7 linked regions of the Ovis aries genome follow. The protein of the gene in region 6 interacts with the protein of the main gene of each other region in a biochemical or structural test. Links are inferred from orthologs where the notes say so. Each region holds a gene or a part of one and is shown on either strand. Other genes may lie near its edges. The genes, in order: FLII, SRC, PHB2, MTA1, TRIM24, ESR1 and AHR.

Region 1 (3,946 bases), on a different chromosome or scaffold from region 6:
GGCCTGCAGCCCCGCACCCATCCCCCTTTCCCAAGCTAAAAATAGGAAAGACAGCGGAGGGGGTTGACCCAGCATGGCCCGGCGGCGGCTTCCTTCATCAGGACTGCCAACCGCCTCCAAACTGTAAAGCGCTCAAAGCCCCTGCCTGTCTGACCTGGGGCCCGCAGACCCTAACCAGGGAAGGGGAGAGGGAAAGGCCACGCCTCCCCTAGCCTCCTCCAAGCCCCGGCCGCGAGGACACCGAGGCCCGGGGAACGCCAGGATGGGCCCAAGAAGCGACCAGAACTCGGCTCGAGCCGGTTCTCTCCCGGCCGGAACCGCGCGGCCGATAGAGGCCACGCCCCGTGCCCCGGCCGTACCTGCGTCGCGGCTTCGGCGCCCCAGCCAGGGGACTCAGGGGGCCGCTCGGGCCGCGCCCCGGGGCCGCCTGGGAATGGAACGTGCAGGACCCGGGAGTCGAACGCCAAGGCCTGGGGCGGGCACGGGCCCCAGGCTCGCAGACGGACAGGCCCCGACTCCAATCAGAGCGCTCAAGGCCAGTGCCCACGTGCCGCCCTGAGGCGGCCTCGGCCAATGGCGGCCGAGCGCCCCTCGGGGCGTGGCTCCTCGGCAAGCTCCGCCTTAAAGGCGCAGGGCCACGCTCCAGGACTCGGCAGGTGGGAACGTGAGCTCCTTCCTGGCAAAGGAAGCATCCGGTGGGGCTCCTGGTCACTGTAGTCTGCGGCCGCCTCTCCCGTGAAGGGTATACTGGTCCTGTCACTTACTGGGACCGCTATGTGCCGGCCCAGGGAGGCCTCCCTCGAGGGGCAAGCGGGCACGTAACCGCGCACCCGGGCTGGCCTCCGACCCAGGACGCATAAGAGTGTGGGCACTGGCCCCGGAGCGTCTCCCGGAGGCTCGTGGCTCCGGACGAGGACCCGGGCGTCCTACTGCCACTGCCGCCCGAACCACCCAGGTCCCCGGCGTTGACCAGCTCAGGAACAGCCGGGGGCCGAGAAGGCCCTTTAGGGCACCGGGACACAGCGCTCCTCGAGGCCCCGCGCCCCAGGGCTGGCCCCGAGCGGCCCCGGGCTGAGAGGCGGGGCCGACGCGCTCCCCGCCCCGCCGGCTCCGCGGTCCCCGCCCCGAGCGCCGGGCCCCGCCCGCGGTCCTCTCCCCTCAGCCCAGCGCCGCCATGGAGGGCACCGGGGTGCTGCCGTTCGTGCGCGGCGTGGACCTCAGCGGCAACGACTTCAAGGTGAGCCTCTGGGCGACGGCCGGGACCCCCAGCCCGCCCCTCCGCTTCCTGCGCGCCCGGGACCGCGGACGGGCTTGCCCGGACCCCGCCCCGGCCCAACGTCCCAGGCCTCCGCCCGGCGCCCGCGAAGACAGCCCAGGCCGGGCGGGGCGGGCGGGCGCGCGTAGGGTCCCGGAGCTGCGCAGGGGCGCGCGGGGTCTGCTCACCGGCTGGGTCCTGGCGCCTGGCCCCAGCAGGCCGGCCGGGGGTCCCGGTCGGAGCTCGAGCTCGCGCCTCCCCAGCCCTCCCCGCCCCTGTGAGGTCACAGCCCAAGCCGGGCCCTGACTCATGGTTACGCCGCCGGCTCTGCGCTACCCGCACCCGCCACCCCCATCCTGTGTGGTCTTAGGCAAGTCACTTCCCCTCTCGGAGCCTCGTCTTCTCGTCTGGTGGAGAGGCTTACCTTGAAACCCCTGGAGGCGGGGATTAGTTGTGGAGGACGTGTTGGGCAGGTGGGCGAGGCCCTGGGTGCCATTTGTCTGAGCAGCTTCCGAACTGGCGGACCAGGGCGGCTGGGAACACCAGCCCAGCCTCGGGGCGGGACAGTGGTTCTTGAGAACTGAGAGTGAGGCCGGAGGGCTGGTGACCAGAGAGGAGGCCCTGAGAGATGGCCTGGTTCCAGGAGGGTCCTCAGGGTGGATGAGTGGGCTGACCCTGGCTGGCGTCAGTGGAGCATCAGCCTGGGTCTGCAGGGTCCAGTGGTCCAGGCAGTGGCTGGGGTCAGGGCAGAGGAGACAGGCCCTTTCTTCCTGTATTTACCCACACTTGCCACCGTGCACACTCCTCTGCCTCCATCCCCACCGTCCTCACCTGGAGTCCCCAAGTGTCCTCTTCAGTCTAGGAGAGTGAGTCACCAGCAGGGAATGTGGCCGTAGGGAGAAGGGGCACTAGCCCAGAGCACTGAAGGCATTAACCTCCCCAGGTTTCTGGCCACGGGGCTGGGGTCCTGAGGTGGGCATTTGAGTCTGGGGGACGAATGGGTGAGTGAACTAATGAATAAGCTATGCCTGTGTGGGAAAGGGTGGGGAGCTGGGGCCTCATGCAGGGGGTGGGTGGCAGGGCACAGGTGGGGCCTTGGCAGAGGCACAAAGTGCAGTTCAACAAATTGCACAGGCAGGGCCTGGATGCAAGGCAAAAACATTGAGTTGATCCGACCTCACAGCTGACTCTGGGGTGGCATCTAGAATAAGCCTTCCTGGGCCAAGAAGCCAGCAGGAGAGGCGGGGCTTAGGTCAGCAGCCATCCTAATCACCAGTGGGTTCTCAGGACGCTTTTGTCATCAGGGGGCTTTCATCAGCCCTATTCTACGGGTGAGAAAACTGAGACAGAGTGGCCAAGTGATGTGTCTGGGGTCACACACACAACTAGAAATGACTATTGCCCCCAAAGGCTCCCACAGACAGTGGGGGCCACAAGGTGGCAGAGCAAGGGTACCATGTCCCAGACCAGCCTCACTGTGACGTACCCGCAGGGTGGCTACTTCCCTGAGAACGTCAAGGCCATGACCAGCCTGCGATGGCTGAAGCTAAACCGCACCGGCCTTTGCTACCTGCCAGAGGAGTTGGCCTCCCTGCAGAAGCTGGTAAGAAGCTTTGGACAGGAAGGGGAGGGTCCAGGTGGATGGGGCTAGCCAGGTGGACAGAGCCTGTGCAGGACATTGCCTGTCACAAGCAGAACTGGTGGAGAGAGGATGAGCACCCTGTCCTGGGAGGTATGCAAGAAGACTAGGTGTGTGAAAGAAGAAAGGTGCAAGAGTGGACTGGACCTGGGTGGCCTAGGGTGCCTGGGTAGGGCAAGGCTGTGGTAGCAGATAGGGGCTCTGTGGGAAGATCCCTGGGTGGGGCAAGGCCCTGGTGGTGGATGGGGGCTCTGTGGGAGGGTCCTTGGACAGGGGAAGGCTGTGGTGCCAGTGGAGGCTCTGTGGACGCCCAGCCCACCCTGCTGAGCCTCTACACCCTGTGCCGGCCCAGGAACACCTGTCCGTGAGCCACAACAACCTAACCACGCTGCATGGGGAGCTGTCCAGCCTACCATCGCTGCGGGTGAGTGCTGCCCAAGACTGCAGAAGTCAAGGTGGGGACTGGGGGCAAGGCCAACCCCTCTGTCCACCCTGGTGTCAGGGGTTTGTGGGGAGAGAGCATGCAGTAATGACCTGAGTTGAGAAACACGTAGGAGAAAAGGTGAAAAAACCTAAGTCTGATCCATTTTGAACTGCTGTGATAGCTGATCCTGGCTGAGCAGCACTCCAGCTATTTCTCAAGGGTCTTTCATGTGATCCCAACCTCCACCAAGTTCACAGAGAGGACACTGACCAAGGGGGCAGGTCACTTGCCTGTGGTTTATCCCCAGTGATAAAGCTGGGGCAGGGCAGGGCAGGGGAGGTGGTCTGGATGGGTCATTCCCCCTGCTGTTCTCCATGGAACCTCCCATCCCAGATGTTCAGGCCATTCCAGTGGTCGTTCCCATTTAAGGTTGGAGCCCTGAGATGCGAAGGGCACACCTCTGGAGTCGGGTTAAAGCTGAGCTCTGCACTTTCCGAGATGGCCCTTCAGTGACCACCGTGAAGTGGCAAAGTGTCACCACACAGACATTGGGCAGAGAGGGAGCCGCAGTGGTGGCTCCTGTTTCTCCTTCTGTCAGTTGTGGCCATGGTGCCTTCCCCTGGTCTGT
Region 2 (4,039 bases), on a different chromosome or scaffold from region 6:
CCAGGCTTCTACCATTTGACCTGGACTGGGCTTTACTTTCCCATCTGTGAAATGGGAAAACTTTCAGAGAAGGAAAACAGAGGCAGATGGTGGCATTTAAAGCTGGATTCAGGCCCACCTTCCCCTGTGCAGTAATCCCAGGAGGACCTGTGAAAAGCCAAAGGCAGGACTAGCACATGTGCTCAGTTGCGTTTGACTCTTTGCAATCCCATGAACTGAAACCTGCCACCAGGCTCCTCTGTTCGTGGAATTTTCCAGGCAAGAATACTGGAGTGGGTTGCCATTCCCTTCTCTAGGGGATCTTCCCGAGCCAGGGATCGAACCCACGTCTCCTGCCCTGGCAGGCAGGTTCTTTACCACTGACTATAATTGCCACTGAATACCTGCTTTGGCCCCTCCTAAGGGGCTTACTCAGAGAAGGCAATGGCACCCCACTCCAGTACTCTTGCCTGGAAAATCCCATGGGCGGAGGAGCCTGGTAGGCTGCAGCCCAAGGGGTCGCTAAGAGTCGGACACAACTGAGTGACTTCACTTTCACTTTTCCCTTTCATGCATTGGAGAAGGAAATGGCAACCCACTCCAGTGTTCTCGCCTGGAGAGTCCCAGTGATGGTGGTGGAGCCTGGTGGGCTGCCGTCTGTGGGGTCGCACAGAGTCGGACACGACTGAAGCAACCTAGCAGCAGCAGCAGCAAGGGGCTTACTGGAAGCCCTTTATAAGTTCCTTATCTGGAACTTATTGGCTTCTTAGTTACTTTTTTTTTTTCTTCTGATGCACTTTAAAATGAATGCATAGCTATTAAGATAAAAATGCTGCTCCTTACCACACTGTCCTGCCTGTCTCAGTCCCCAGTTTGGGAAATTCAGGTTAAGGCCAGGGTCCAAGACCTGGCTTTTGTCAGGTGAGTCCCTTCTCTGTGCCTCAGTTTCTTCATCTGTAAAATGGGGGTGATCATTGGCCTGCCCAGCCCACTTGGTTGGTAGGAATAGATCCTAAAGTTGACCTGAACAGCTTAGCATGGCACCGGGTAAGGAATGAGTTCTCCATCAGTGCTGCTGTTACTGATTATCAGTAATAATTTCATGAGAGGTAGACTTGGGGTCAGTTGGGTGGGTGGGTTGGGAGGAGTTGGGGAGGGTATTTTGGCTTGAGAGCTGATGGGTGGGTGCCCCATGGGAAGGGAGCACTCTCAGGGCGGGGTAGGGGGCGGGGCTTCCGTGGCCGGAGCCCCCGCCCTTCCATTCCCTGGCCGCCGGGACCCCGGGCGTGGGGAGGCCGCGCGCGGGACTCTCCCAGGTCACCGGCGGGGACCCGTCCCGGCACGCTTCCTTCTTCCTCCCCCTCCCGGCGGCCTGCCGGGCCCCTCCTCCCTGCTCGCGCGCTCCCTCCCTCCTCTTCCCCTCCCCGGGCCGCCGCCTCCTCCTCCTCCTCCGCCTCCCTTTCTCTCTCGATCTGTCTCTCCTGGCCCGGAATCCATTCCGGCCCGGGAGCCGGAGCGGCCAGGCCGCCGTGTGCCCGAACCCCTGGCCGTCCGGCGGTCCGTCCTCCAGTGCGTCTGTCTGCCCGGTGCGTCCGTCTGCCTGCCGGTCCAGGTGAGCGCCCCCCGCCCCTCCGCCGGCCCCGGCTCCCGGCCCGCGTGAGGGAGCCCCCCGCCCGGGGACCACCCTGGCGTCCGATCGCTGGGCCGCGGGGGCTCCTGCCCCCCTCCAAACCTCACCCCTCGAGCCAAGCGGCGATCCCGGGGCGCAGGGCGGGCGCACCGGGACTTGTCTGGCGCGGCCTTTTGTTGTGATGCCGCGGGGGGGGGGGAGGGGTTTGGTGGGGGGCGTAGGGGTCTTGTCCTCGCGAGGACCCCCCCCTCCCGCTCATGCTCCCTCTGCGGGCCCCCTGAGAGCAGCGAGCCGGGCCCGAGCCCCCAGGCCAGGTCTAGGCCAAATCTGAAATCTGAACCAGTCGGCGCCGCCTCTGGCCGCCGCTACCCAGCCTGGCGCCCCCAGCCCGGGATGGGAGGTGGAGAAGGGCCGGCAGGGTGGGCCTGGGGGGGCGCCGGGCAGGGGGTGCCGGGCCAGAACACCAGGATCTCCTTGTCCTCGTGGGGCCTTGGGTAGGGCCTGGTGCTGCCGGCCTGGAAAGGACTGGGCCAAACTGTGGTTGGTCCCAGCTGCCCACAGCCCCCAGCCTCCTCTCTGGGCAGGCCCTACCTCCGGTCTGCTCAGAAGTTGGCAAAAGTTTAAGATTTGGCCCCCAGGCCGGGTCCATCTGCCTGCCTGGGCTGGGGTTGGTGGTGGGTTTGAGTCCCAGTGGGGGCTCCGCTTTCCTGCCCTGCTGTGCTTCCTTGAGCAACTGCCTGCCCTCTCTGAGCTGGGGGCCCTTGTCAGGTCCAGCTGTGGGCCTGGCTGAGCCTACTGGGCTGGTGGAAGGACTGGGTGAACAGAAGGGGCTCACCTGTGGGGTAGCAGTTCAACCTCTGGGGCCTTCAGGCGGACTTGAGAGTCGGCAGAGCCTGTGGGGCCCTGGGTGAGGTGTCCCCGGCTTCAGGGACTCTGTCCAGTTGGGGCAGTGGTCTCTGGATCACCTGGGGTGACTCCAGGCCTGGCTTCAGTCAGCTGAGATCAGACTTGATTTTAAGAATGGAGCAGGCTGACGCTGTTGCTGACCCTCATCTTGGCTTTCTGGCTGGAGAGACAAGACCTCGGCTTCTGGTCACACTGGGCTACCTGGGCCAAAGGACCGCCCCTCTGAGTCTGCTTGTGTGCGGTGGGGATCCCCAGGGGAAACCTGTAGGCACTTCTGCAGGTAGGGCCTTGGCATGTAGTAGGTGTTCAATAAATGAGCATGGCACTGGATGAATGGCCTGAAAAAGATGGGCATGAGATGAGATGGCTGGCTCTTGTGGGGCTTATTCCAGAAGAGGGTGGATCGGTGTCCCCAAAGCCACCTCCTAACCCCTTGAGGAGGAACCAGCCTCAGTGCAGTCTTGCCACCCAGCACTTGAGACAACTCGCTTCTCCTTCTGGCCTCAGGTTTGTTCAGTATAAAATGGGCTTGTGAGAATGATAGCTGCTAACATCTATCGAGTACCTCCTAGGAGGTAGGGACTTTTGTGTATCCCCTTTTTGCTGGGGAAGAAACTGAGGCTCTGAGAGCGGAAGTGACTTGACCGAGCCACATAGTTTGAAGCTGGAATGAGAGCCTAGAGCTCAGAGTGCCCGGTCGGGCTGTCCTTGTTCCCTTCCCGTGATGGAGGAATGGGTGTTTCTCAGTATGGGACCAGGCACACGACAGTGTTGGAAGAGACTCGGATGAGTGATTGTGTGGATGCCACGAGGCCCTTTGGGTGAGGTGGTGTGCTGTGGTGATGTGGTCTTTCCACCCAAGGAAATGATTTACAGTGTGTCACCTCTCAGCTGACTGCCTGCCTAGGCCCTCCTGTGTGACTCCAGGGCCTTTGCTCCTGAGGGTTTCCCTGCCGGGAGTGCCCTCTCCTCTAAGAGCTGCTTGTCTGCTTTTGCTCTTTAAGGCTTCGTTTAAGGCCCACCTCTTCCAGGAAGGCCTCCCAGCTTTCTCCTCCTCTCCCCTAGCCTCTTCCCAGGCGTGAAGTATCCCCAGTGCATAGCCAGTTCCTGCTTTGGCTTCTACCCTGATTGTGACCTGACCTGGGAGTGGTGGGGTGGTGGGTGGGGGGAGGTTGTCTGGCTCCCTCAAACCCCAGGAGCCAGGAAGGAGACGGCTCAGTGGCCTGTGACCAACCACCCATTCCCTGAACCTCAACTGACCCCATTTTCCCAAACCTGCCGAGATACAAGCATCCATGGCCCTGTGTTGAGTACCTATGATGTTCTACGGGCTTTGATCTTGAGCTGAGCAGTGTGTGATGGGTTAGCAGTGGGAGCTGTAGGAGACCTTGGGAGGCTTCCAGGAGGTGGTGACAGGGGCGGGGGGCGGGGAGCAACATTTTCCTCAACAAAGAAGGGGACACAGTACTCTTTTCTTCCTTTCAGCTCAGACATGTCCCAGGGCCCCTGGGGGAGGCTCTGGGA
Region 3 (4,235 bases), on a different chromosome or scaffold from region 6:
TTCGCCTTAAGTCTCATCAGCCAGCCTACAGGGGAGGGGCCGCGCTGGGAGCGCTTCTGTGGAAGGATATCATCCGCGCCGCCTCGGCCTCACCCTCCGCCTGCACGATCTTCTGCCGCTGTTCCTGCTTTGCCTTCTCCACCAGGAACTGTGCGCGCTGGGCCTCCTGCTGGGCTGTGGCGGGAGAGAATCGGGGTCACGGGGACGCGAGGCACCGGGAACACCGTCGCGCCTGCCTGCTTCCTCGGACGCCCTCGCTTGACTCACCCACTTGTTTGGCTTCCACAGCGGCCGTGTACTCGCGGCTGAAGCTCAGCTCGGTGATGGCTACGTCGTCCAAGATGAGGCTGAAGTCCTTGGCCCTCTCGGTCAGCTCCCGTCGGATCAGCAAGGACACCTGGGGGGCGGGGGCGGGGGCGGACGGGAGAGGGGCATTGAGGGGGCCGGAGAACTGAAAGGAAGGCGTGCTGCCGTGACCATGGGAATCCCAGATCTCCAGAACACCGCAGGGGCACACTGAGGCTCTCCGACTTCCTCACTGAGCCTGCAAAGCTGGAGAGGCCTCGGTCACACGGACTCCTAAGCTCCACTCTTTCCAAAACCGTGTGTGCGGGTCTAGACCACGGTTCTCCCTCCCTGCCTGACACTAACCAGGCCTGGCCCTCGTTCCCCACACTGGCCATCAGCACGGCTTTTTGGGTGTATAGGACCTCAGGTTACAGTCCTTTCCTAATGGGCTGGCTTTCCTAAAAGCCCGTCCACGAGGCTTTGGAGGGAAATGCTGATGCTGTGGGAGGGAAGGGGAGCTGGAATCAGACCTGGGCCCGCTGGGTGATCAGCTGGGAGGCGTTGAACTTGGCCACCACGCTCTTGAGCACCTCGTTGACAATGGACGGCAACACTCGCTCCTCGTAGTCCAGCCCCAGGCGCTGGTACATGCTGGGCAGCTCCATGGCATTGGGTCGGGACAGCACCCGCAGGGAGATGTTCACCATCTGCAGGTCTAAGAAAGAGGTCAGCAGTGGCTGGGCGAGGCTACGGGGGCTCACCTGGCCTCTCGGCAAAGCCGCCCTGCCTAGGCATTTTCTCCTGTGCGTGCTTCCCTGGCTACCTAGGGCAATGCCCTGTGGCCCAGAATGGCCTTGGGCGGAGAGTAAGGAGGCTGATGAGAGGTGACTCAGCACAGGCCAAGTGCATACTTGTCCATGGTCAAATCTCCTCTACCCATGGCCTCTCCTCCAGAAAAGCTTTCTTTTATTTTTGACGCTTCACTGTAAGTTGTTACATTGTATGGTTATCGCCAGTCTCCTGAACTAGACAGTAAGGACTGGAGAACAAAGACTGTTTTGTGGATACTTTACTCTTAAGGCCTAGGGTTTTGGGAATTTAAGAAACCTTCACTGAAGATAACGCAAAAAAGTACATTACAGGTGAGCTACTTGCCTCATTGTGTGTGTGTGTGTGTGTGTGTGTGTCTGTGTCTGTGTAAGGTTGATCTGGGGAATCTCAAAGGCACATCTGTGAATGGTGTAGGAGGGAATAGGTGAGACCAAGTTTCCCCAGAACAGAATGTACCAGTAGATTAATAAATCAAACAGTTAAAGAAAGGTTTTAAAGCGAGGCTTTGACCTAGGTAGTGAATAAGACAAAAGACAAACAATGCTCTTATTGAGTTTACACTAGGGGGAGGAACACTTGAAAACGAGCAAATGCACAGCATGTCCAGAATATACTGCTTTAATCCCTGGAGCAGGTGCTTTTATTACACCTTGTTTGCAGAAGTGGAAGCCAAAGCCCAAGAGATCTGACACCACGATCTTCCCCAGTCTCTGACCAGGCTCCCGTGTTTACTGTCAGGGATGTCCCAGTGCCCAGACCTACCTTTGGAGCCTGTGGGGGAGGAAATTTTTCGGGGTCTGGCCCGAATGTCGTAGATGATGGGGTACTGGAACCAGGGGATCCTGGAGGGAAGGGAACAGGGATAGGGGTTAGGAAGCTGCGATTTCACTAGTTCTGCCGTGTTTTCCTTCACCACGTGTTTCTTGACCTGCTCCTCCTCTTAATGACCACGGTCAAGGAGAAACTGTCTTCTCCCTTCAGAAAACAACAGTATGTGCTGCTGGAGATTTGGGCAGCACCACTGTTCGGGGAGATGGGGTGAGAAGGGGAAAAGGCAGCGCTGAATCTCGCTGTCAGTCTTACTACAGGTACTGGTGGGTCGACGTTCAAGGGTGATGGGTCAGGGTCAGTCAGTTCTGCCCGCCATTACCTGAAGTGAAGGCCCTCGGCCAGAATGGTGTCCTGCTGCACGCCTCCGATCCGATTAAAGAAAATGGCTCTGTGCCCTCCTTCCACTGCAGGGAGAGGGGTGGGAGTCAGTCCAGGCCGGGCTCAGAGTACGTGTCAGCTTCTGGTGGGGCGGGGTGAGGGGCTGGGTGAGCGCGGGGCCTCGGTGGGGCTGGGGCTGGGAAGGGGTCCTGGGAAGGGGTCCAGGGAAGGTTGGTGGGAGTCCGGAGAGCGGGCGCAGGTTGCTCACCGGTGAACACCGATTCGCGGATGCCGTAGGCCACGGCCCCGGCCCCCAGCAGTAGCTTCAGCGCCGTGCCCATGCCCCGCGGCCCGGAGGGCAGCCGGCCCGCTAAGTCCTTCAAGTTCTGGGCCATGTTCGGTCCTGAGGCCGGCGGCACCAGTGGTAAGAAGGGGGTGCCGGCCCGTCTCTACCTCGCTCCCGCTTAGGGATGGCACCCTTCACACGAGGGTCCGGGCCCCAGGTGCTCGCGGGAGAAAGGGCACCGGAAGTGCGCTCCTTTCTAAACCCTCCCCGCAGCCAACGGCGGACCGGAACTGGACGCACAGGAAGTATGCATCCGGAAGTCCAGCCCCTTTCTGGAACCCTGCCCTCCCAGAGAGGCTTCGCGAGCGGTAGACCTCGAGCTGTCTCCATTTCCGAGCGCCCACTTTCGAAATGGCAGACGGAAGGAAGCTGGAGATTGGGGCGAGCTCGAGGCCAATTTAAGGACGTTACACAATTTCCGATACGGATGCAAGATGGCTGCGCCCAGTGGTGCATTCCAACCTCGTGAGCGCCGGGCTGCGGAGCAGGAAGAGGACTGGGATGCTGTGGCGCCCAAGCGGCCCCGACTTGGGGCGGGTAGCAAGATCGGAGGCCGTAGGCTCATTGTGGTGCTGGAAGGAGCCAGTCTGGAGACAGTCAAGGTAGACTTGGACTAGGAGATGGAGAGCTAGTGGATCGATAGGATGGGATCCGGTGTGGTGAGGGTGGTGGGCTCAGGGGGTGATGGATGGAGAAAGCAGAGACGGGTGAAACATGCTTTTGGAGGAGTGGCCTAATCGACTGCCTCTTCGTTTAACATCCTGAGTTGGTAGTACTCGTTTTCTTTGCCCTTGAATCTCTGTGCGGCTCACATCCTTGCTTCCGATTGATTTACCAGGATTCTGTGATAATCCTAACCCCAAAGTCGTCTTAGGGGAGAGGTTTCGTCCTTCGTGTCGTTCCTCGGTTCATCCCAAGACAAGTTTACTGGGCAGAGGTAATTACTATAGCTCAGTCAGTCAGTTCAGTCGCTCAGTCGTGTCCGACTCTTTGCGACCCAATGAACCGCAGCACGCCAGGCCTCCCTGTCCATCACCAACTCATGGAGTCCACCCGAACCCATGTCCATTGTGTTGGTGATGTCATCCAACCATCTCATCCTCTGTCATCCCCTTCTCCTCCTGCCCTCAATCTTTCCCAGCATCAGGGTCTTTTCCAATGAGTCAGCTCTTCACATCAGGTGGCCAGAGTTTTGGAGTTTCAGCTTTAACATCAGTCCCTCCAATGAACACCCAGGACTGATCTCCTTTAGTATGGACTGGTTGGATCTCCTAGCAGTCCAAGGGACTCTCAGGAGTCTTCTCCAACACCACAGTTCAAAAGCATCAATTCTTTGGTGCTCAGCTTTCTTTATAGTCCACCTCTCACATCCATACATGAGTACTGGAAAAACCATAGCCTTGACTGGACCGACCTTTGTTGACAAAGTAATGTCTCTGCTTTTCAATATGCTGTCTAGGTTGGTCATAACTTTCTTTCCAAGGAGCAAGCTGCTTTTAATTTCATGGCTGCAGTCATCATCTGCAGTGATTTTGGAGCCCAGAAAAATAAAGTCAGTCGCTGTTTCCACTGTTGCCCCATCTATTTGCCATGAAGTGATGGGACCAGATGCCATGATCTT
Region 4 (3,500 bases), on a different chromosome or scaffold from region 6:
CGCCTCTGGAGTGGGGTCTGGGTGTGGGCCCCCGGGCGTCGGAGGAACCACCGGGACGGCACCAGCAGCGCAGCCATGGGGGGAAGGGCGGGCAGTCCGGATCTGAGCGGTCGAGCTCTTTACCCTAAGACACCGCAGGGCTGGGTGCCACCGCGCCCGGCCCCCCGTGCCAGCCCCTCACCACCAGTGCGCTGATGCCAGCTCAGCAGACACTCGCCCACCACCCGGGGTCCTGAGGCCGGAGGCCTCGTCTCAGGGCAGCTTCTCCCTCGGCCTGTGGGTGGCACGGGGGAGCCCAGGGCCCAGCCATGGACGCTTCTGTCCTGGGCAGCACCTGTGCCAAGGGCCAGTGTGCTCTGATCAGCAGGGGGCATGGGGCCACGAGGAGGGTCTGCAGAATGCCCACCCGGCGTGGCTGGGCTGGCATGGAGGACACATCACACCCACCCTCAACTCGGGCGCCTGAGCTGAACACCTGCAGACGCCCTCGGCCACGGTCACTCTTGGCAGGAACCCGCTTCCAGGCCCAGGACCCCTGTGCACTCGGGAAGCCCATGGAGCCTGGGGTGGGCATGGGTCAGTAGGGCCGGCACGGCTGAAAGTCACTGGGGAGACACGTGCCCCCTCGCCCTGGGGAGGTCACCCTGGCGGGCTACAGGGGCGCGCTGGGCCAGGGGCCCATGGAAGGGAAGCCCGGCACCGCAGACATGCAGGGCTGATCCAGGGATGGGGCGCGGAGATCCGAGAGCCTGGGGTGCCAGGTCTGTGGGACGCAATGGGGCGTCTGGAGGATGGGCATGGTGCACTCCCTCCTGGCAGCTACATGGCACTGAGACCCTCCCCAGGGAAGCCAGGGACCCTCCCCTTGGATCTAGGCCCCAGTGACGTGGCCAGGCAGCCAGGCCCAGAGCCCCAGGTGCAGTGGCACCCCCGTCCCAGTGCCACGCCAGCGGGCGGGCAGCATCACGGCACACTCTGTGGCCGCCACACACACTCACAGACGGGGCACAGGTTCACACTGGCAGGGTCCATGCCCCAGGAGGCACGGGGAGACAGCAGGCTGAGGCCTTCGCCAGGGTCCCCGAGTCAGGAGCGGGAAAAGCCTGGGCTGTGAGCAGGGCTCGCCCAGGGCCCCTGAGAACAGAGGCTCAACCCCGCCGAGCACCCAGGCGGTGGGCAACGTGAGCTCTTTGGACACTTGAGCCACCAGCGTCCTCCTGAGGCCTCACCAGGAACCCTTAGCCACCCCGCGGGAGCACAGGCCTGAGGGGCCCCGGGGACTCCCAAGGACGCCTGACCCCGGAGGGGTGTCTGTGCGGGAGATGCAGTGCGGGGGCCCCCAGGATGATGCGAGTGCTCATGGGGCCGGAGGGAGGGGCGGCCAGGCCCGCCTGCGACGGAGCTGGACACGCAGGGCGGACGGGGGAGCCGCCCCACCACCCGCTTCCCACGAGCCTGGCTCAGCAGACAAGCAGGCGCCCCGAAATGGAGACCGAGGCCCCGGCACGGAGGCGGGTGTGAGCGTGTGAGTGAGGTCCGAGTGAGGTGTGCCACACGTGTGTGCTACAGGAAACGTGCACACGGGCCAAGAGCAGGGCCCAGGGTGAGCGGAGCAGCTGGGGGTCGGGAGGCGCGGCAGCCGCGGAGAGGGGGCTTCTGGGGATTCCTGCACAGAGGAGCCTGCGGTGCAGAGCAGAGGGGAGCCAGGCCTGGCCCACGCCCCACCCATGCGGGAGATGCTCGCCAGGGCCGCCTGAGGACGAGAGCAGAGCGGCCACGCGCTCCACGAGGGACCGGGGACCCCAGGCGGCCTGGGCACCTCACACGGGGCCAGCTCTGCGGGGACACCGGCTCCAAAGAGAGCAAGGTGCCCAAATGCCCCGAGGCTAAGCACGTGTGCGGTCCAGCTGCCAGACCCGCCTCACCGAGCCGCGCGAGCAGGACGGGAGAGGACAGGACGCCCACGAGCGTGGACCCCCGCGGCCCGCTGCGTCAGCCCCACGTGCCTGGGCGAGGCCACCACCCGAGGGACGAGGGCCACTCACGGCAGGTCTGCTGTCAACCATGGGGCCCCTGCAGGAAGCAAGGCCTGGGGGGTCATCGGGGCCCGAGTTCCTCTGTGCTGCGTGCATGGGGACAGAGTGAGCTGCAGGAAGGGGTCAGGCCCACCCGTGACCCCGGGCCGCTGGAGGCCTGAGCGGGCAGGGGAGCCGGGCACTTTGTCCCCTGAGCACGGTGGCCTCGTGGACAGCACCGTCCACCAGAAGTCAGTGATACCAGCAATCACTCAAACGAGCTCTTTGAACAGAGAAAGAGCTTTTAAAAAGTTATGAAAACAGCTGCTAAGAGGAAACAACGTCTCCAGGTAGCGTGGAGGGTCCAGCGACAGGCGCTGGGGTGCTGGGCCCGCCGCGCCCCCACCCACCTTCTTTCAGCAGGTCGGTGATGTCCGCCTGGTACCGGTTCCCCACCCGGATCTCCCCCTTGTCTGCCAGGAGGGTCTTCTGCTGGGGGTCGTAGACCAGGGAGTAGAAGAAAAAGTCCTGGAAAGCAGCGCGGGGCGGGGCTGTCACGCTCAGCGCCGCGGCCACGCGGGCAGCCCACGAGCCGCCTCGAGCCCGTCAGCGGCAAGCCTGCAGCTTAGTTTACAGAGGCATTTAACAGCAGCAAAACCCCGAAGACGTCTGGGAACAAAGCTGACAGACTCTGGGCTTGGCCTCGGAGGAGACGGCAGGGCTCCCATGCAGTTGTCACAGGAGACACACAGAGCAGCCACGTGACAGGACGTCCCGGGCCTGGCGCCCAGAGCTGGCTGCCCCCAGCCCGTGGGCACCGTCCTTGGCCCCCAGGAAGCGGCATAGAGCCGGCCTGGGCCGCTTCTCGAGAGCAAGCCTGCCACCCAGGGCTTCCCCTGGCGCCTCCCTGTATCCCGCAGGGTCTACCTGGCCCCGTGCCCCCGCTGTGCCCCTGACTCCACTGTGGCTGTGCCCCCACAGCCCTCAGCCCCAGGTGGCAGCGGGCAGGGGCTGCCCCCGCATCAGGGCCAAGGGCTCCTGGGCGTAGGTCCCGTGGGCTGCAGCTGTGCGCCTGTGCGGCCAGCCCCTCGCCTGGGCCACCCCCCTCTCCTCGGAGGCACCCCCTTCCCCAGACGGGTGAAGGAGAACAGCAGAAGACGCCCGCTGTGCACCCCAGAGGCACACGCGGTGCTTCGGCAGGACCCATGTGCCTCCAGAGGTTGCTCACAGCCGCCACGGCACTGCTCGGGCGGCTGCCACCGGGGGTCCTTTCCCAACTGCAGGCCACGCGTCCGCTCCCCAGGGGAAGCTGTCTGGGGCCATGGCCTGGCTCTGCCCGCCACCTTTCCAGGCCACACCAGGCCTCCCGCAGGCAGGGGCTCCCGGGGGGGCCGGGCTGCCCCAGCAGTTCCTCTGCGCCGACTCCAGGCTCTCGCCTGGCGGTTCTCCAACCCGAGTCAGGCATCAGGGAGGCTGCACACCAGG
Region 5 (3,500 bases), on a different chromosome or scaffold from region 6:
TTTTGGAGACAAGAAAATAAAGTCTGCCACCATTTCCACTTTTTCGTCTTCTATTTGCCATGAAGTAATGGGACCAAATGCCATGATCATAGTTTTTTGAATGTTAAGTTTTAAGCCAGCTTTTTCACTCTTTCACCTTCATCAAGAGACTCTTTAGTTCCTCTTCACATTCTGCCATTAGAGTGGTATTATCTGCTTATCTGAGGTTGTTGATATTTTTCCTAGCAGTCTTGATTCAAACTTGTGATTCCTCCAGTCCAGCATTTCTCATGATGTACTCTGCATAGAAGTTAAATAAGCAGGGTGACAATATACAGCCTTGATATACTCCTTTCCCAATTTTGAACCAGTCAGTTGTTCCATGACTGGTTGGAACTATTGTTTCTTATCCTGCATACAGGTTTCTCAGGAGAAACGTAAGGTGGTCTGGTATTCCCATCGCCTTAAGAATTTTCCACAGTTCAAAGACTTTAGCAGAGTCAGTGAAGCAGCAGTAGATGTTATTTTTGAAATTCCCTTGCTTTTTTTATGATCCAGCAGATGTTGGCAATTTGACCTCTGTTTCCTCTGCCTTTTCTAAATCCAGCTTGTACATCTGGAAGTTCTCGGTTCATGTACTGTTGAAGTCTAGCTTGAAGGATTTTGAGCATTACCTTGCTAGCATGTGAAATGAGCACAGTTGTCTGGTAGTTTGAACATTCTTTGGCATTGCCTTTCTTTACAATTGGAAGGAAAACTGAGCTTTTCCAGTTCTGTGGCCCATCTAGGATTATGGCAGGAATAATATTGGAGATGGTGATTATGAGCCAAGAGCTGAACTCTTCAAAGACTGAGAGAATGACTGAGCATTCACTGAGGACTGCAGTGTGGAGGAGGGTGGGAGGTGGTGTGATGACTGAGATTCACAGCACAGGAGCAAGAAGGGCCATCCTACTAGCAGGCCTGGTCAAGGCTGCACTTAATGTCCTGAGCAGAGATTCATTTGTATTTTTTGTAATCCATTAGCCCCCTAATCTCTACTTTGAATCCTTCTTTGAAAGAGTAAAATAAAAGCAGTGTGTGAGTTTACTTTATAAATATGTGGTTGGTACATCTGTGAAACTTCTGTAATTCAGTGAACTAACTTTAACCTGTCACTTTAGGAAAGGTTTGTTTTGTGTTCAACAGTAAAACTAATTGTACTTAAACCTCTAACGCATTTTTGAAGAAAAACTGTGTTTGTCCACTTTTTATAACTTACTTATGAACACTTGTTTTGTGTTGGCATATATGTCATAGAGAGCATTTTTTATGTATTTGTTGGGAACTTGATAAATTATTTGCCTAATAAAGACTTGGATGCTCAGTTGTCTCTGCTTTCTTCTAGATTACGTACCGGTTACGGCACCTCCTTCGAGCAAGGTGTGATGCTTCCCCAGTGACCAACAATACCATCCAGTTTCACTGTGATCCTAGCTTCTGGGCTCAAAATATAATCAATTTAGGTAGGCTGTTATGTAGATTTTCTCAAAGTGCCATTTGTTTCTGGAACTCTTAATGATTATGAGATTGTTGAAAATGTATTCCCTTCTACCCCCTAAATATTTTTATTATCTTGTTTTAAAGAGATGGATTTTTCCTGGTATTTCATTAGTGTGTGTATATTTGTGACACATGCATGAATATAAACACACATATAAATATGTGGGTGATATGAAACATCCTTTTATTGACTCAGTGTCTAGATTTCTGGATTTAGGAGTTGTTTTTCTTCCTCAAGCAAGTTGTGCTGTTAGTGACATATTTATCAGAATAGTTGTTAAAACTCTTTACATGTGTCTGCCATTAATATAGTACTTTTTAGAATGTTTTCTGTTAAAACAGTATTTCTCATACAATTCTTGGCTTACTCACTCTTGAGACCCAGTTGTCAGGTACTAATGGCTCATTTATTTGCTTTTTCTTGGTAGGGAGGAATTCTCTCTGTGTGTTTTGTTTTTGTTTTTCCTTTTATGTAATAATTAAATAATTTTTAACCTCCTAATTGAAGTGTATCATGCATATAGATAACTGCCCAAATTTGAAGTACTAGAGTTATCAAAAAGGGGGAATTTCAGTATCATTTGGTAACATCACATATCCCTGCAGGCAGTCCTTGTTACATTATGTACTAGTAAAAAAAATCTTCAATTTTTGCCTCCTTTCTTAATTTCTCACAGGGAAATTATAGAAACAAAAATAAGAATTTCATATACATTCTTCATTAACCACCTTTTGGCAGTTTTGGGGCTTATTGACTTTGTTTCAAAATCATCAAATAGGGTTGCTCTCTCATTCTCTAAGCTAGATTCTGGGTAAGAAAGAACTGGCTGGAAGGAGAGCCAGTGCTCTCAGAACACTCCAAGAAGGGAAGAAATAGGCTTACATAAATCTCATCCATATGTGAGAACAGTAAGAATGGTAATGTGACCCTTTGAAGAAATGATAAGGTGACTCCTCAGCACAGTTTAGAAGTACGTATTTATTGATTGATAAACATAGCCAGCAGCTGGTATCATACATATTCTCATCTATATAACTAAAAAGAAGCATCTTAATACAAAGCATGTATATAACTATCTCTTACCCTACTCTACCCTCCACCACATATATAGCTATACAGAGAATCTATCACAGCTTTATATCCACAGTAACAGTCATGTTGACTTATATGTACTTATAAGCATATCACTTAAAACATAGTCCACATGATGTAGACATAGGTAAAATTAAGAAAATATGTAACTGTACGCACATAAGTGAATATAGTTTAGGTAAATCTGAATCAGCAAAAACAAAAACACCTCCTGTTTGTGAGGAATTTGTAAGACAGTATCCTTTACTGTAGGACTTTTCAGAGGTGTCATATATAGCTCTATAAATTGTCGTTTAAAGTGAGATTGACGTTTTAAATCTTCTAAGAAGGATACAACTTTCCCAAACTTGTTTATTTATGGCTTCTGAGAAACATGTTACAGAAGAGTGCAAGGGAAAAGTAGTGTCTTGGACGCATATTCAGTTTAGTGTCTTTGTGACTTTGGATAAGTTGTTTGGCCTCTCTGAACCTTAGATCCCTTATCTGTACGAAGGATTTTAACAATATACATAGATCTCCTATCATGGTACCTAATGTGGAGTAAGTATTTAATGAATGATAACCATATCTTTAAGGATGCATATGCTTAGTAAATCAGGAACTTTTAACTGAGTCTCTGCTATTGAAGAAATCAAGCTTTGCCCTACTCTTGGACCAGACCTGTGAGAGGTACCTTTAATCTCTTTTTTAACAGTGTAGTTATAAAGCATGGTGTTCGCCATCAGAGAACTAACACAATTTGCGCCATGAAGGTGTAAAGAACTAGCTGTTGTTGTCATTCAATTGCTACATCATAGAGAGATAACTGAGTCAGTAATACTCTGTGGTATTGTTCTCACATCCAGTGAGAACAGTCAGGTTTGCGTGTTTTGTTTTGATTATACAA
Region 6 (3,500 bases):
ATGAATTTCCATCTGGAATCCCATACGTACTGAGTTTTTTACCTTTATTATTTTTGAAAGTTCCCTTTTTCTTTTTTCAAAAGTACCAGAATATTATCTAACGCAAAAAGTTTAAGATGGGGCATATTATAGGGATAGTATTTGCCACTGGGATGATGAACAATTTTGAATAAAATGTGATCCCCTCTTCATTTGACCATGCTCACTTTGTAATTACTGGCAAGGCAGTAAATAATCCACTGAGAAGCAGTCTCATTAGTGCCCATTGAAATTCAGTGGCATTAATTTGCAATAAAAGAACTGAAAATTAAATGGAAAAGAAAATAGTTTCTGGAGTCTACCACGAGGTTATGGAACTCACATCATATCAATGCCTTCCTTCACATCAAGGAGTTTAAAAGGTGTGAATCAGACTTAATCGTTAGATTTTGTTCTAACACTTGAAAAAAAAAAAGCAGGCAGAATAAATTCTTTTTCATTTCCCATTTTAACCCTGAATTAAAACAAGTAAAATGAATTTGACAGACGCCAACTTGTGAAAGTTTGTTCATCCTAGTGAGTCTTCTATGGAATAACTCAGGCTGGACCTGCCTGGCTGTGGGGTGTTCTAAAATCTTTTCAGAGGCTAAAGGATGTGGAGTGTGCTCAGATAGCCCATGATCTCCCCTTCAAATTCTCTGGGGCCACTTGGCACCTTCCTCCTGCTGCTTCTACTATAAATATCTCTGGAAATAGAACACTGAATGGAAAATCATCCCAGCTTGCAATACAGAAGGGTCTGGGTTAAGGATGAAAGGCAGGTCCAGACACCAGTGTACAATGAGACAGTGCCTAACTCAACGCCCAGCCACGTGGGCGCCCTAAGGTCTCTCAAACCCACTCCGTGGCACCCCTGTCCAGCAGCACCTAGAGCACTGGTATTCCCCAGGACTCCCTGCCTAAGCCCTTTTGGAGTCCATCAGGAAGAGAAGGGAGAAATTGTCAAAGGGAAAATGAGAGCAAGAAGGGAGAAGGAAAGTGTCATCTCTATGAAAAAGAAAAAAAAAAAAAAACAACAACAACAACAAAAAAGAAGAAGACACAAAACATTTGCCTCTAAGTCAGAAAAACGTCCCTGTGTGCCCTGAGCTACCATCTGCTTCTTCCCCTGAAGGAAAAGCACAGAACCGGGCTGAACTCGGGCACGGCACTCCCGGGGGCATTCTGTGCCCCGTAGGCCAGAAATGAAACTTAGCTGTAAGGAAAGTATTTCAAAACACTCGTGCTTCGATGTGGCATGTTTCAAACTCACAGGACACATAAATCTCGGGATGTCAGAAGTCTTCTGCCAGCACTGGGCTCTGACACGGACTCAGTCCGGGTAACTCAGAAATCAGAAAACTCCTTAAGACCCATCCAACTCTAGGGTCTTCTGAGGGGCGCGTTTCAGCCCCGCAGCCCTCCTAGGTGGGACGGGGAGAAAGACGGGCCAGAAATCGCTCCCCGAGGAAATCACCTTTGCCACCACCATCCTCATCATTATCAGAGCGTGCATATTTCCAACCCGAAAATCGAGGAGCAGGGAAATTTGGCAAGCACAGTAAAACAAAATTGTTAAATACTACTACTAATATAAATAAATAACACTGAGCTCAGCGAGTCCCAAACACCTCCAGCCTTAAGTACCAAAGCGGGACCTTTTCTGGGGACTCAAAGCACCTTATGTGTGTTGGCTCTGGGGTGTCCCCCTCCCCAACTAAAAAAACCTCTGCTTTGCACGGTTTTCCAATATTTGTTTAGTTAGGAAGCACACGGGGTTTCAGATCTGCGTATCAAGCAGACATGGGGGCGGGGGGGGGGGGCGGTGGAGAAGGAAAAAAAATTAAAATTAAAAAAAAAAATTTTTTTTTAAGCTGCTGGGCCAGAGAACTTGACTCTCGAGAACACGAGATGCACCCGTGACCCCAGGCCGGGCGGCGCGCTAGCCCTCGGGTCGCGCGGCCCCGGCTCGGGCTGCGGCTGCGGCCGGGCGCCCAGCCCCGCGGCCTGCGGGCCCCGCTCCCTCCGCGCCGCGCGGCCCCTCGCCCCCGCTCCCTCCCGCCGCCCCGCGCGCGGCGACCACCCCGACGGGGCGCGGCGGGCGGCGCGGGTTACCTGTAGTAGGCGGGAGGGCCGGCTTCGCGCACCGCATAGCCGCTCGGCTCGTTCTCCAGGTAATAGGGCACCTGTTGGCCGTGCGGGTGCAGGAAGGGCGAGAGGGGCTGCGGCGGCGGGTGCAGCAGCACCAGCGGGCTCGGAGACACGCTGTTGAGCGGCGGGAAGGCCCCCAGGCCGTTGGCGCCGAACGCCGCCGCCTCGGACCCGGGGCCGTAGGGGAGGCCCGACTGGCCGTAGACGGGCGCGGAGGCGGCGGCCGCGGCGTTGAAGTCGTACGCGGCGCCCTCGGGGTAGTTGTACACGGCGGGCTTGCTGCTGTCCACGTACATCTCGCCCAGGGGCCGCTCCAGGGGGATCTTGAGCTGCGGGCGGTTCAGGGGCTCCAGCTCGTTGGCTTGGATCTGGTGCAGCAGGGCCATGCCGGACGCTTTGGTGTGTAGGGTCATGGTCATGGTGAGCGGCCGCGGGCCGGCGCAGACCGTCTCCCCCCGCGGCAGAGGGCTCAGCAGCCGGCCGGCCACCTGGAAGAAGAGCACAGCCCGCGGTTAGAGGCGGCGCAGCGCATGTCCCGCCGCGACGCGAGCGCCGGCCGGGCCCCGGGGAGCCGGCCCCGTCCCGAGGAGCGCGGCGGCCGCCGGACGCGAGCAAGTGCAGCCCTGCGCGAGCACGCTCTGCCAACTCGCGGGCTCGGGTCTCCAACTTTAAGTACAGCTCTCCCGAGCTCATAGGCATGACAAAGGTGCTGGCCCCCGGCCAGGGGCTGCTGCCTGCCCCTGACGTTGCCTTCAACATCATTCCAGGCGCGCAACTCGTTTTGGAGAGATCCCAAAGAGCAGCTTCCCTGAACTTTACTTTACTTGCCGCTGCTGGATAGAGGCTGGATTTCACGGCAGGAGGGCGGGGGCGCCGAGGGATCTCCTAAAGGTGGCCCGGAGAAGACGGGTTTCAAACCAACTCGGAAGACTCATCCCGGGGCCAGCTTTCTCTAACGTGCTACCTTATGTGCCCCGTGCCAGGCTCCAATCTATCTCTGTTTGTCTCCCGTGCTGTTTGATTCACGCTCCTCGTTGGCTGGAAATACGTAGTGTGTACATAGAATGACCCTGGGGAGGACCACTCTGTAACCGAGATATGGTAGATAGAGTGGGGTGTGCGGTTGCCGATGCAGACAGCTATATTTAGCAGCTGCAGAGACTGATCGCAGGCGTCCGGGGAAAGGGGGCGGAGATTCAAGGTGTGCGTATAGGAAGAGCCGAGTTTTGCCTTCAGGAGAGTGCTACCTGACCTCAGTTTCCCTCGTCTAAAAAATTCTCCCAAAGTGGTCGCCTCCAGCCGCGATCTTCCGAGATTTTCCCAGCCCGCCT
Region 7 (4,255 bases), on a different chromosome or scaffold from region 6:
GAGTGAGTTGCCATTTCCTTCTTCAGGGGGTCTTCCCCACCCAGGAGTCGAACCCAGGTCTCCCTCCTTGCAGGCAGATTCTATACCAACTGAGCTAGGAGGGAAGCACGCCATATTTGGATAGGAATCTCAAATGATAAAGCATTTGAGTTGGGCATTTTTTGTGTTATTATTGAAGAATAACGTGGCAGAAGATGAATTAGGGATGTTGCAATACACAAAATTAAATAGTATTTGTTGGAATATTTAGATGTAAGTTGTAGAAGAGTTGAAGATATTTCATAGGGTTGATAGGATAATGGTTGAGTATATGACAGTGAGGTTTCAGCTAAAGAAAACAATGTTCAATTTATTGATGTTCTGAATGTGAGGTAACAAACTCACCGGATGGAAATGGCTTGATGACATTTTGAAATGTAGGAATGGACATGGTGCCAGATTTCATCTAGACTTCTTAGTCTGATTGCCCTTCTCCTGACAAGCAAAACACACTCCTGTGTTTACTTTTCTGGGTAAAGGCACAGGAGTAGTCAGAAATGTTGGAGGTACTTGAGATTGCTCTCTCTTGTTTGTCTATTTCCTTATTATCTGCTCTTTTTCCCCTCCATCCCACTGTCACTTCCCTGGACTTTCACCTGGACTACTTCAACAACTCTAACTACTCTCTCGGCATCCAGTCTTTTTCTCCTGTAATCCAGCTTGCACTGTCATTTAAAACTTCCAAAACACTAGAATGTCTCTTGCCTGCTGTGGATCATTCAAAGGTTTCCACTGACTGCAGAATAATATGTGGACTCTTGATCAGGCTTTATGATTTGACCCTAGATTCCTGGATTTCACTTCCAGCTTCTCTCTCTCCAGCTATACCAGACTGCTTATTCTCAAATGCCTCCTGCTGCCTGCCTTCCCACCTTCCTGAAATCTGACTGTAGTGTAACAGTTATTCTGCCTGGGGAAAAGATACTATACTGTCTTGTACGGAGACAAAAATCAAACTCAAAACAAAAAGACAAGAAAAATGCCTAGCCTTCAAGTTCAACTGAGATGTGGCCTCCTGAAGCCTTCTCCTCTAGGAAGATTTATAGTTCCACAGGTTATCTGCCAGCTCACTGTAATGCTTAGCCAAAAGTTGGCTGACTCACTGTCTCTTGCAAAGGTGAATTTAAGCTCACTACTTGGCATTTCTTTCCTTGAGGTTGTCTGATTACAAAGACTTTGGCTACACATAATTTGTCGTCACATGTCTTTATGGACTGGAAATGTGTCCACAGATTCCTCCCCTTGACCTCAAGAAGATGGCTACTGGAGAGGGTGGGGGTCATTACGCCTTACGTCATCACGTGCCGGGAGGGTGGGGCCCTCAAGGGAAATATAGCGGAGGGCGGGGCCAAGTAGGATGGGGCGGGGCTACGAGGGGCGGGGCGGGGCTGGAGAGGGGTCGGGGGCGCTTCTGCTATTCAGCCGGTGCAAGCAGCAGCGGGAGGCATCGCAGGGCGAGTCCACTTGACGCTAGGTTCTGAAAGCGTGACTGGGACCACCGGCTCAGACCAGAGGTAGCCGCATAGCCGAGCGGAAGCTGGTGGCACCCGTAGCAGCGGCCGGAGTCCGAGCTCCGCAGGCGGGAAGCACCCGGGATCGGGGAAATCCCGGGAGCAGCGCAGCGCGGCGGCGCCTCCCTCACCCAAGGGGCCGCAGCGACGGTCACGGGGCGCGCCGCCACAGCGAGCGACCCAGGCCGGGATTTCAAACAGACAGCCCAGGCTCCTCCTCCATTCGCGCCGCCTCACCTGCGGGCAGCGCGGCGCCGCCTCAGCTGGTACAGACGGCACCTGCGCCTCCAGCCTCCCCGGTCTCCGCCCCTCGCCCCTCGGCGCCAGGCCCGGGCCGCGCACCTGGACGTGCGGGGCTGCAGAAGCCCTGCGGCTCCTGGGGTGCTGTGTCTCCGCCATCGCCCCGGGAGGGCGCAGGTGGAGCAGCCGCGGTTAAGTGGAACCCCGTCCCAGTTGCCGCCGGGTCCCGGGGACAGGGCCGTCCGCGCCCGGGAGGAGCCGCAGCCAGCCAGGCACCATGAACAGCAGCAGCGCTAACATCACCTACGCCAGTCGTAAGCGGCGGAAGCCGGTGCAGAAAACGTGAGTCTCCGGAGCCTGTCCTCTGTGCTGTGGGGAGGTGGGCGCTCAGGCGCGGGACACTGCCGCACCCCGCCCCCAAATCCCCGAGGCCAGGGGATTAGGTCCCTTCCCTGTGCAGTCTGTGGAATCGAGATCTGGAGGCCGGTCGAGAACCCCAGGCCTTGGATTTTTCCGTGATTAATGATTGCATTTTAAAAATTGTGCCCCCCGTTCTCTGCCCCCCCCCCCGAACCCCTTCTCCAGAGCACCCTTTCACACCTCCAGCCATTTGCAGCGCTGTTCACTGTGCTGTGGTCCTAATTTGTTAACAGCTCTCCTCTGCCCTGTGGGGCTGGTGGATTAGTTAACCTAAGCCCGTCTTGAAATCCCCTTTCACATTTAATATCCTCCTCTGTTAGGTTAGAGGACGGTCACCATTCTTACTCCTGGTAGGGCGAGATGCTTTAAATAGCTAAACACGTGCTGTGTGCAAGAAAGGGGCTGAGTGCCTCTGAAGGTATTTTTTGGTTCCCTGAAACTGGCTTTCTGTTATACTCTTATTTACTTATTTGGCAGTAATTTTGTAGCGCTCAGCGTGAACATATCAATAAAATGTATAGAGGTGATAGCAGCTTTGAGTGAGTGTAGTAGCCAGGATACAGTAGAAGATTTGTATTTTAAGTCATCTTTTGGGGGAGATTTATCACTTTGGAAGTGGTTTTAGGGTCTGCAAATAATTTGGAGATGGAATTATTGAAACAGACATTTTCATTCTTAGCATCATTCTCTTAATTCCCTTTTCCCTCTACTTCAAAGTTTGGTCAATTCTGATAAAGTACAAACTTAGGTTTGTTTGTTTTGGTGGGATATTTATGTGATTATGGCAAATACTTTAATTTTTTTCAGAAAAAAAAAAGAAAAATCCATGCTTAACACAGATTTACTTTTTCGAGTTGGCAATGTTCATGTGTTTATTCCTAATTATTATCCTTGAGTTATTTTACTTCACATTTTTCAAACTTTCATAAACAATTTTAAGAACACTTTAAACGGTTACTCAGAACAAATCACAAGTGTGCATGTGGCTTAAGACTAAATTTAGGTCACTAATCCAAACCAGAAAAATAGCAGTTTAAAATTAATATTAAAGACCAGTTTAAAGGTTTCAGTATTCTGGGGTTTTAATTTCCTTTTAGAATTTCAGTGATTGCAGTCCTTCAGATTTAGACTTGGCATCAACAGAGGATATTCATCTATAAATAGACTGATTAAAATTTGGAAGACTTATCCTGCAGCGTGGTTGACATTAGGAATACTGTCAAGTCAGCAGTTTTTATCTTGGCAATTCTGTTGACATTGGTTTACAATACTTGTGTTTTATAGAATGGTTTCTTATAAAAAATGTGCTTGTCTAATTTGACTTGGTCCTTGATGGTTATTTAAAATTGAAAGGCATCACAGACACCTCTGTGTATTTTAGTTAATACAAAAGTACACTTGACATAATGTATAATATATATATGTATATCATAGGTTTTATTTGTATAGTTAGAAAACCTGAGAATTTTAAGTTATTGCATTTCAGGAAGTATGTTACACAGGACCTAGGTGACTTCAATGAAATGCTCTAATTTTTGTATTCATTTTAAAGTTTAACATTTGGGGCTTCTTGTTACCATTTTATTAAAGATTTTCCCTGTAAATATATTATTGCACATTTTCTTTTTTTTAAGGATGTACCTTTTATTATTAGCAATTAAATATGCTTTCTAAGACTTTAATATATTTGTGTTTAATATCTCCTGTAATACAACCAAAGTATTTCCACATTCACCCTTATTTTATCTAGTTAGCAGAGATGTTTATCAGATCTTTACTGAGCATCATGCATGGCTTCTAATCCTACAAACGCCTTAAAATGTCACTGCTCCATAAGAAAAGCCTAGTGCTGACATTTACAGAATCACGGGAAGTTGTTCATAAATTGTTTTTAACTGAATGAAAAATGATGAACTTAAAATGCAGTTAGAGTCCATTTTAAGAATGGAGCCATAAACCCAGTATTTTAATGTTTTTTAAGTTAAATTACTATAACTAATAGACACTCTAATATGTTGGTATATTGTCTGAAAAATTCATCTTGT

What was found.
Region 1: the proteins of ESR1 (region 6) and FLII form a complex in vitro, tested with the Homo sapiens proteins (2 studies listed by BioGRID). The link is inferred for Ovis aries from reciprocal best matches to the Homo sapiens genes ESR1 and FLII.
Region 2: the proteins of ESR1 (region 6) and SRC form a complex in vitro, tested with the Homo sapiens proteins (3 studies listed by BioGRID). The link is inferred for Ovis aries from reciprocal best matches to the Homo sapiens genes ESR1 and SRC.
Region 3: the proteins of ESR1 (region 6) and PHB2 form a complex in vitro, tested with the Homo sapiens proteins (3 studies listed by BioGRID). The link is inferred for Ovis aries from reciprocal best matches to the Homo sapiens genes ESR1 and PHB2.
Region 4: the proteins of ESR1 (region 6) and MTA1 form a complex in vitro, tested with the Homo sapiens proteins (4 studies listed by BioGRID). The link is inferred for Ovis aries from reciprocal best matches to the Homo sapiens genes ESR1 and MTA1.
Region 5: the proteins of ESR1 (region 6) and TRIM24 form a complex in vitro, tested with the Homo sapiens proteins (4 studies listed by BioGRID). The link is inferred for Ovis aries from reciprocal best matches to the Homo sapiens genes ESR1 and TRIM24.
Region 7: the proteins of ESR1 (region 6) and AHR form a complex in vitro, tested with the Homo sapiens proteins (4 studies listed by BioGRID, with this or other methods). The link is inferred for Ovis aries from reciprocal best matches to the Homo sapiens genes ESR1 and AHR.

What each region holds. Positions count from the first base shown.
Region 1 is NC_056064.1:34,134,148-34,138,093, forward strand, and holds the start of FLII (protein flightless-1 homolog), read left to right. Parts: upstream 1-1,146; 5' UTR 1,147-1,174; coding exon 1,175-1,237; intron 1,238-1,443; exon of another isoform or gene 1,444-1,548; intron 1,549-2,747; coding exon 2,748-2,858; intron 2,859-3,208; coding exon of another isoform or gene 3,209-3,246; coding exon 3,247-3,318; intron 3,319-3,946. UniProt on the Homo sapiens protein: Is a regulator of actin polymerization, required for proper myofibril organization and regulation of the length of sarcomeric thin filaments. It also plays a role in the assembly of cardiomyocyte cell adhesion complexes.
Region 2 is NC_056066.1:66,271,955-66,275,993, forward strand, and holds the start of SRC (proto-oncogene tyrosine-protein kinase Src), read left to right. Parts: upstream 1-1,239; 5' UTR 1,240-1,591; intron 1,592-4,039. UniProt on the Homo sapiens protein: Non-receptor protein tyrosine kinase which is activated following engagement of many different classes of cellular receptors including immune response receptors, integrins and other adhesion receptors, receptor protein tyrosine kinases, G protein-coupled receptors as well as cytokine receptors.
Region 3 is NC_056056.1:209,334,061-209,338,295, reverse strand, and holds the start of PHB2 (prohibitin-2), read right to left. Parts: upstream 2,801-4,235; 5' UTR 2,664-2,800; coding exon 2,537-2,663; intron 2,355-2,536; coding exon 2,270-2,354; intron 1,962-2,269; coding exon 1,882-1,961; intron 1,004-1,881; coding exon 819-1,003; intron 398-818; coding exon 268-397; intron 175-267; coding exon 71-174; intron 25-70; exon of another isoform or gene 1-24. Other genes in the region: EMG1 (ribosomal RNA small subunit methyltransferase NEP1), read left to right, coding at 3,049-3,216.
Region 4 is NC_056071.1:67,465,616-67,469,115, reverse strand, and holds part of MTA1 (metastasis-associated protein MTA1), read right to left. Parts: intron 2,544-3,500; coding exon 2,426-2,543; intron 1-2,425. UniProt on the Homo sapiens protein: Transcriptional coregulator which can act as both a transcriptional corepressor and coactivator. Acts as a component of the histone deacetylase NuRD complex which participates in the remodeling of chromatin.
Region 5 is NC_056057.1:103,687,324-103,690,823, forward strand, and holds part of TRIM24 (transcription intermediary factor 1-alpha), read left to right. Parts: intron 1-1,366; coding exon 1,367-1,484; intron 1,485-3,500. UniProt on the Homo sapiens protein: Transcriptional coactivator that interacts with numerous nuclear receptors and coactivators and modulates the transcription of target genes.
Region 6 is NC_056061.1:76,603,930-76,607,429, reverse strand, and holds part of ESR1 (estrogen receptor), read right to left. Parts: intron 3,287-3,500; exon of another isoform or gene 3,134-3,286; intron 2,658-3,133; 5' UTR 2,589-2,657; coding exon 2,134-2,588; intron 1-2,133.
Region 7 is NC_056057.1:26,779,255-26,783,509, forward strand, and holds the start of AHR (aryl hydrocarbon receptor), read left to right. Parts: upstream 1-1,455; 5' UTR 1,456-2,067; coding exon 2,068-2,132; intron 2,133-4,255. UniProt on the Homo sapiens protein: Ligand-activated transcription factor that enables cells to adapt to changing conditions by sensing compounds from the environment, diet, microbiome and cellular metabolism, and which plays important roles in development, immunity and cancer.